Drosophila melanogaster: one gene and its partner. The protein of the gene in region 1 interacts with the protein of each later gene in a pairwise test. Each region holds a gene or a part of one and is shown on either strand. Other genes may lie near its edges.

What was found.
Region 2: the proteins of IM33 (region 1) and Targ interact in a two-hybrid assay, tested with the Drosophila melanogaster proteins (one large-scale study listed by BioGRID).

What each region holds. Positions count from the first base shown.
Region 1 is NT_033779.5:3,695,500-3,698,501, forward strand, and holds IM33 (immune induced molecule 33), read right to left. Parts: upstream 1,160-3,002; 5' UTR 1,100-1,159; coding exon 1,033-1,099; intron 973-1,032; coding exon 791-972; 3' UTR 719-790; downstream 1-718. Other genes in the region: CG3604 (uncharacterized protein), read right to left, coding at 1,874-2,272.
Region 2 is NT_033778.4:14,666,493-14,672,429, reverse strand, and holds Targ (tarag), read right to left. Parts: upstream 4,040-5,937; 5' UTR 4,015-4,039; coding exon 3,992-4,014; intron 3,983-3,991; exon of another isoform or gene 3,932-3,982; coding exon 3,330-3,931; intron 3,163-3,329; coding exon 2,912-3,162; coding exon of another isoform or gene 2,908-2,911; intron 2,844-2,907; coding exon 2,507-2,843; intron 2,457-2,506; coding exon 1,840-2,456; intron 1,779-1,839; coding exon 1,286-1,778; intron 1,222-1,285; coding exon 965-1,221; 3' UTR 755-964; downstream 1-754. Other genes in the region: mspo (M-spondin), read left to right, coding at 45-63; CG12860 (uncharacterized protein), read left to right, coding at 5,739-5,937.

The DNA of each region.
Region 1 (3,002 bases):
ACAAACAAATTAAGCTCACATATGACTGGGAAATCTCCACAAAAATTCGCACCGATCTATGTAAATATTTTTGCCGCATTGTGTTTACATTCGTCGGCTTCCCAGAAACGACTTTGTTTACTGGCCGCCTGAAAGGGAAAGCCCATCACATTATAATTGTTGTATCATATGAAATATACAATGAGCTCAACAAGTGTTGTAATTATGGATATGTTCTCTTATCGATAGGAACAACGGGAAGTGTCATACTTACAACGGCCATGGCGAAAGCTCCGTAAAATATTTCATTTCATTTGATAGGTCCATTTCGTAAGTGTTTAAAAATTCCACTTAAATGTTTCAGTTGTTCGTTGGAACCCCTCTTTTTACTATAATATAATAAAAAAAAGACACTCAGAGAAAAATCCGTTTTCAACCATCTCGATTTGACAATTTCGACCCCAAAATCTAGCTAAGATTGAATAATGCTCACCATACTCAGATTGCAAATGACTTTGCTCTCATTTGCCTTCCTCTCTCAGTTTTTCAACCTTTCCCTTCCGTCTGAAAATATCAACATTCAGATCGTTTTCGTCTCGAAATCGAAGGTTAATTCTCAATTTTTCTGGGTGTACTTTTTTCTAGTCTCTTAATTAATTCAGCAACTTAAACTTTGCCCGATAGTGCGATCAAAACGAACCTTGTTTTTTTCTTTATGTGATGTAAAATGAGGTAAGTTATAAAGAATCGTCCAAAAAGTTATTTATCGAAAATCATTTATTGAATATTTTGTAGAGCATAGAGGTCAAATTTATTCCTTGCACTTTTGTTCGCAGAGCTCCTGGGTTCCAAATCGGTTCTCATTGCCGCCGCATCCGCCGTAGATGAACTTTTCACACGAATTGGTTTCGGGATGATAACTGAAGCTGGGTATAAAAGCGGCACACTTGATGAGACCATTGCCATCAATACCAGCGGGCAGTCCACAGATAGCTAATAGATTGAGAATGTGAATTAGAATGGTTTCGATTTCCTGAGCAGCTCCCAACTTACGATCCTTGAGGCCGAGGGCCACAGCCACCAGGGCGAACATCAAACAGACGGCAGCAATGAATTTCATACTGATTGCGATTTTGAAAACTATGTATATCTCCCAGCTTCCGTGGAACGACTAATGGAAATCGGAGGTGTAGCACTAGGTTATATACGCCATGCCGATCGGCAGATGGGAACTACATATTGGCTGGGGATCTTATCTATATGCTCATGAACTTTCGGTTCATTAACGAGTGCTCGTGAATTTGGTATATAAACAGACGAGACTTCGAGTACTATGTGCTAGTGCTAGTGTTTGTACTGAAAATAATGCCGGAATAGCAAATAAATCTAGGAACTACGTTCTGAATAAAGTAAACACGATTAGGCAGCGATTTGTCATTCGGAAGTGGGTTTGTCCGATTTTTTCCCAAATTTCATTTATTTCCTCTTTTGCTTGTATAATATATTTATACATTTCGTTTTCAGAATCTTTGCGATATAAGTGCATTATAAAAGTAGTCATATTTTATCAAAATTACTGTTTACACTGTTTAGTTCCCAAGATTAATTAAAATCGTCTATTCATGACTCAAGTTTTTGTGAGTCCGTCGGGTTTCGAAATTAATGACTTTCCGAGATGTACTGCTAACCACTTCTGACACTTACAAATGTATCTACATACTGTACTGCTAGTACCAGATGTGCGAATAAAACGAAATAGATATATAAATCACAATGGTATATTTATTAAAATTTATAATCAAATTATTCAAATAATCAACTCAGTAAAGAAATGCTTTTAAAAGGCTGATGAAGTTGGATGACAAATAAATTACAAACTAAGAACTACAATTTTTTAAGACGAGGTGCTAGTTTCTGTGGCCACTTCGCTGTTTTGTTCGGTTGTTGAGTCCGTGGAGGAAACCGCAGACTTTACCAAACATGCCTGTTCGCACTGCTCCTTGGATTCGAAGTTGTTCTTGTTGCCGGCACATCCACCGTAAACGAACTCCTCGCAGGATTGTGTATCCACGTTGTAGGCGTAGCGATAGAACAGAGCGAAACAGCGACCGGTTTCCTTGGGCTGATGACAGTCCTCCGGAACAGTGAGCTCACTGGCATCAGGCAGGGGTTTGGCCACCGCGGGCTCCTCCGCCTTCTCCACGACGACATCCGAGGGAGCTGCACGAATTCCGGCTGCCAGGAGCAGAACAGCCGCGAATACTATGAAACTGAAGCTATATCTAAAGCACATTTCGAGTCCGTTGAGTGGATGATGAGCGAATGATTTCGGCTCGCTCGGATATTGCGGCTTAAATACTATCCGTCCGAACTGATTAACTCACGTACTACTATACTCACTCAACTGGGTTTTTGCCCACCGTTTTGCCTCTTTTTGTGTACTTCATTTATCGGAGCGCCAGCTTGTTTGTCCAACTGATTCGTCGCCGCATGTAAATCACGGCGGTGCCTCTCTGACGTCTATATCCACGTCCATATCGATATCACCTGGCACTGACAGCTCTCGGAGAAGCTTTCGCGGCCCAACCTTCAATTGCAGATCAACGCACCAACGCAAGTCAATCATAATGCTGGCCATAAAATCATATTCCAAGTGGCTTCCGTATCGGTGTGACAATTTTAGTCAGCCAAATCACGTTTAGCGAGCGGAATGGGAATCTAACTGAATTACCTATAAACTGGTTAACTGTCGGTTGAAGTTTTTTGTGTATCTAACGAATGGGGTAAGCTTTGGAGCTTCAGAAGAAATGAATAAACTGTCTGGTTAAGAAATGTTCCTAATAATCGCTCGTTTGCGATTCTAATCATTAGGTAATTTTCAAAATTGCGCATATAGGTGGAAAATAATGCACTTAATTTCTTAATTCCAATTATAGATAAACATTTGATATACTGCTTACTTGTAATTAGTTAATTATTAAACGTATATATTTCGCATTAGCAAAAACCCATTTCAAGTAATT
Region 2 (5,937 bases), on another chromosome or scaffold:
AAGTATATACAATTAAAATATATATATGTCCGATTCGATTTCAGGTCCGATTCCGACACATGAACGATCCACTTGGCGGAGGCACAGGCGATATAAATATAATTTTAATTTAAGGCGTAAGAATTGCTTTTTCTGTGTGAACAAGAAAGACCAGCCAGGCCGTTAGGAGTGTGGTTCATCCCGCAAGGAGATTTTAATTTAACTTTACATTATCAAATGACATTGTTTTTAACGCAGACGGCAGAGACTTCAATTAAAAATGGATTAAATTAGAGGCGACGATGGGGAAGACTACTGACAATATTAAAAAACACAAGAAAGATTTAGACACAGGACACAGAGGATTGGAGTCATTCGTCCTGCGGATGTCGATTCAAACATTCTTATGTTTATGTGTTCACATTGATTTATATTTTTTTTTTCGTTGCTTTAGCTCTAAATAATATGTAAAAAAATCATCATAAAATATAAAAAATGAAGAAAAAAAAAACAAAACATTGAACAGTAGACGTACAAAGTTTAGAAAGCAAATCAAAGTAAACAAGAAGCGTGAAAATTTGCATACCCAAACAAGGAAAAATGGAAACAAAACCAAATGAAAAACCAAACACAGCACACTTGAACCTATAAGCGTGGAGCCAAAGTGTGTTGTTCAGCAACTAAGCTAATATTAGATGTAAACTAAGCTAACTAATAACTTAAAATGGATTGCAATAAAAGTCAACCCCAAAAAGAACTCACTTGAATTGAAATTATATTGAAAATAAATCTGTAATAAGGAGGAAGTAATAGTTAATGACATCGGTCAATTAACAATTACATGGATATACAAACATTTACTCAGAATTTGGAACGAGGACCAGTAAAAAAAAGTCATAAAAATGCCTAAGCTATTAGTTGTAAGACAATCCCAAGTTCCAAGCAGGAGAACCAATAAATATTGCAATTCCAATAGTCCAATTCCTCATTGGGCCATCCTGTTGCGACATTTAATAAGCAAGGGCAGCAGAAGCTTCAGAAATCCGGACACTATGAGACATAATCCCGCAAAGCAAAAGGCAGCAGAATAGTTTCCCGTGATGCCTATCAATTTACCAGCAATTGTAGTCCCAATAAAGGCGCCCATTCCCATGGCCAATGAGGTAATCCCAAAAGCGTTGGTCAGTTTTGAAAGTCCCAGGTATTTCACGTATATCAAACCTCTCAGTGTGGAATAAACAGCTATTCCATGGAAATGAGAGAGGGTAATATTGTAAACTTAAGTAAGGTAAGTAAATGTACGCACCAGGCGCTACAGCATAGGAGAAGCCATACAGAAACTGGAACCAAATCAAGTTCTCTCCATAGAAGGCGCTAATCAAAACGGAAACACCACCGAAAATTAGACCACAACCACAAAGTCCGAGGGTCCAACTACGCCTTTTGTAAGCGAGGATGCCAAGGATGTTTCTCATCACAAGATTACTAATTCCGATAATGGGGCCGATCATACGGGCATATTCGACGGGGATCGTGGTTCGTGCAGACGAGTAAACAAAGGGTATATTAAAGCCCATCGGGAACAGAAAGGCGGACGCCACCAGAATCTTGAACTCAAACTGTTTCAGCAGGCGGTAGTCGAATAGTTTGAGCACAGTGAGCATAAACCGGCTATTCCTACAGGAATTTTGCTTTTTCTGATTCTCGTTTGACCATCTTCGTTCCCTATGAACTCTAGAAATCCTATCGGGTTCATCATCCACACGAATGTTCTTGATGCCATAGTTCACTTGCTGGGTCTAAGTGAAAGTTGGTGGTGTTCTTAAGTTGAAGCGAATTTATTCTTAATACAACACTTACGTTCTTATCCGATCCCATTAGTAGGAACTCCTTGCCGTCGACGTTCTCCTTGCTGTGCGGCTTTTCGTATTCGGCAGGACCCGTATAGAAGAGATCCTCCCGCTCCAGGGGCGCCGGGCGGATGAGCAGATTCTGCTCATCAGCATTTTGCGACTTCTTCCGCCGCCTCCAACAACAGTTCGAACAGGAGGGGCAGAACTTGGCGCATCCTTTCTTTTTTGGGCGTGGCTCATATGTACTTAGGATACTCCGGCTTTTAGCAGTCATCGCGGATTGACGTAAATAGTCATGCACGTAGAAGTTGCCGTAATACTCATCCGAACTGGTATCCGAAGAACCGGGTAAATGGTACATGCCCACCTGGGTGGGAGCCACCTCCACATAGGCGACCACCATCAACAGGATCAACATTATCAGCCCCGCCTGCGTCCGCAGCATGTTCCTCCATCCGATGATTGGCACCAGCCAGCTGTTGAGGAACGTGAAGAGTACTATGCCCGCACCGCCACCGCTGCAGGAAAATCCATTGGCCATCGGACGGTACCGCTCAAAGTAGTAGCCAACAATCAGCTGCGAACTTGCCCAGATCATGCTCAACGTAATACCACCTGCGCAGGCTAGTACTATTATTCATCGAATATCGTACAGCAATCTAGAATCAACCTACCAAGGACGCTGTAAAAGAAGATCAGCATGGTCAAGCTGACGCTCCAACTGGACGCCAGTATTGAAACTGCGGAACACAGGACCCCAGCGATGGCTACCTTTCGGAAACCAAAACGATTTATCAGGACAGCAGAAAACGCTCCGCTAGTGAAGTAGCAACCAATCTGGACACTGGCCACAAACGATACCGACGATATGGAGACATCCAGATCCTGGGCAATGGATGGCAATAAGACCCCAATGGTAAAAATTAAACCATCGATTATCAGCTGGGCGAGGAAGGACAGCACCATGATTACCCAACCGAATCCGCCGTCCGGTGGTATCACCATATAGATCTGTGGATGACAAGAGTCGTCATTCGTTTCTCAATTCACCACCACAAGAATGCTATTCACTCACTTACAAAAACCATACCGGAGCCAAGTCGTCTTCCACCACGGCTAAAGTCAAAGGACTCCTTCGAATTTTTACTTTCCATGTCGAACGATTGCTTGCGCGTTCGATTTCCGTCGTATTCGCTGAAAGATTCCGGCGATGCGGTATCGGCCAACTGTACTGTAGTTACATTGAACGAGAGACCCGATTCCTGTTGATCGGTTTCCTTAGGGACCACATATGAATCCTCGGAATCGTATTTGGGAATCAAGGGGGATCCTGTAAGAAGGCTACAGTTTTAGCTACAAGAAATGCATTTGGTAGGTTCCTCAATTTCAAGCAAATGGCCAAAAATAGCTTAGACAAAATTCAATTGCATGACAATAAAATAAAAATAAAAAAAAAAACATTTTTGTAAAAAGGAAGGCAGCGCTATGATAACTTACTCTTTTTATAAAACTTTTGCGTTTTGGTAATGAGTGGTTCTGCCCTATCATATTCATCCGTATAGCTAGTAAAGCTCAACATCTGAGACACCTCATCTGTGCTCTCGATATATTCATTCTCATTATCCCTGTGTGTGGACAATTCCTTGCTAAATCCACGGGTCCTAGAGTATTTTTTCTCAAAGGCCGGTTCCACAAACGGCACCTCAGATATTGGCTCAATTGGCCTAGATGGTGGAATTGCTGGCTGGTTTTTCGAAATCTCAGGCTCATTTGATGCCCCCACAAGCATATGGGGAAATCTTCTGATAGGCAGCTTGGGAAGAAAAGTTGGATTAAAGCTTTCGTAGAACGAAGGCAAATCCACTTCACTCCCGTGAGACTGACTAAGGGACAAGAATGATGTGCGCCCATTCAGGATATCCGTTGAAACTGTGCCGACGGCCACACTGACCATTTGTGGTCGCGTGTTTCGCGTATCATTGTAATAGATGGATGAGTTTTGAACCGAGATGTCCAGCCTGGACAGAGATTGGGATCTCAAGCTACTTCCACTTGGCTGTGCAGCGGCGGTCTTATCTTCATATTGGCTGCTGGGGAAGCTGAAAAACAGAGGGATTTGGTCGAGTTGAGTGCTTTGCTGGGCGAACAGACTCAGTCACCTTCGCCTACGATTCCTGCTCATTTTTCGACTCTGTCGCAGAGTGTTCCTGACATCTTTCACAAATCTCTCTGCGTCTCGACCCGAACCCAATGCACAGTGGCTGGCTACGTGTCTGGCTGCAAGATGAGAAGCCCCAGCAACAGGAACGGGAATTCATGGGGATTCGTGGGATTCGGGAACTGTCGCCAGACATTAGCTGCTCCTGGCTACCAAATGCTGTCATGGCTGCCAGGCGAGCGTGACAAACGGAGTTGGTTGGTAGTTGCTTGTTGGTGACCCCCAGTTGCTCCTCCTCCGCAATTGCCCCACTGCAACTGTTACTTTTTAGCCATCGCCTCGCCATCGCCATCTTCTTTTGCCTGGCGAATCCCTATTGCCACAACCCGATCCCAGCTCCGTTCCACCCGCTTGCCTGTTTATTTTGGGGCCGAAACAAAATTGCATCAGTGCAATTTCATTGATTGTAAGTAAATGAAATCATTCCTTAGTCGTCTGAGTTTTGCACGGAGAGCGGAGCGATTGGAGTGGAGCGGCTAAAGTGCATCTCAGCTTTAGGGGCAGTAACTTCATTGGCAGTCACTCAAAGGCAACAAGAGCTGAAGTATTGGGGTCGACTGTTTCCCCAGTTGATTAAATGGAAAGTGATGCCCGGGCTCTTGAATTGGAGGCAGTCGGTCCATGCTTTATGAAACAAACCTCGCCCCTGGAAACTTTAACTAAGCCAGCCCTGCTTTTGCAAAATGAATTACAAACAAAGTGCACTAATTAATTAGCGTAAAGGCCAGCAAACTTTTCGACCAGCCACTTCAGCTTCATCTACACCTTCCCCCCCCCCTGGATTTTTCCTGTTCTCCCGCGGGGGAGCACCGATTGCAGCGGCTATTTTTCCTGGCCAACAACTCTATGCGGAAATTGTTTTTTTCCAAAAGGTTCGCTCGTACGTGCTCGTTTTTTATGGCCCACGTTGTGTTTTCCTATTTTTCGATTTTTTTTCCCCTGAGCGCCTTGAAATCGAAACGGCCAAAAGATTGCGCTGCCAAATTGTTAACAGCAATTGACCCAATTTTATGGGAGCCCTCATGCATGGCCACTCTCGGACGGCAGTGACTCCAATGAAAATAGCGGCGTAAAAGCGAAAACTGCCCCGAGAACAGCAAGCAGCGAGCGGCGACCAACGCGGCGTATACTTATTCTAGTGGACTTCTGTTGTTTTTTTTTTCGCAGGGGGTCAGCTTTGTATGTATATTTTTCGTTCTGTTTTATTTTTTTTTTTTTTTGTTGGGCTTTGTCGTTTGGCTGGCTGCACTCTGTTTGCATTTAACTTGCAAACAAGCTGGGGCAAAAATTCGTAAAGTGAAGGTTGCGTTGCCTATTTTTTCTTTATTGTTATTTGCCTGCAAATCAAGGCAGCTGGACATTGCAAATTCGCTGGCATCGAATCCATTCGCAATTAACTGCAGAACAAACAAGGAAAACCCATTTGGTCCGTGGCCCGGAAAAGGCTCAATTCGCGACAGTATTCGAGGAATTACACACTTAAATCTGGAATCCATAGAGAAGTAGCTGTTGAAATGTAAATAAAATAGATCCCATCATGGCGGCCTTGGACTAGATTTCTTGCCAACTATTGGTTCAGCACCTTGGTGTTAGCCAGATCAAAGCAGAGCGTTCGCCTGTACAGACCAAAATTTCGTGTCTCTCAACCTGCCACAGCACCGGTTCCAATCCAAAACCTCCGTTTAGTTATGTTTCTGGCCAAAAGTTCATCAATACTTCGCCCGCAGCTTCTTAATGAGGTGAAGGGACTAGTGAAGTCACAATTTCTGGCTCTGTCACAGGTCGACCGACGCTTTGCCCACTCGGACGATAGGTGCGCCAATAAGAAATCCAGGAAGTGCGAGCAGAGCCCACCCAAGGGTGTAGGTTTGCCCCCCCGGGATCGAA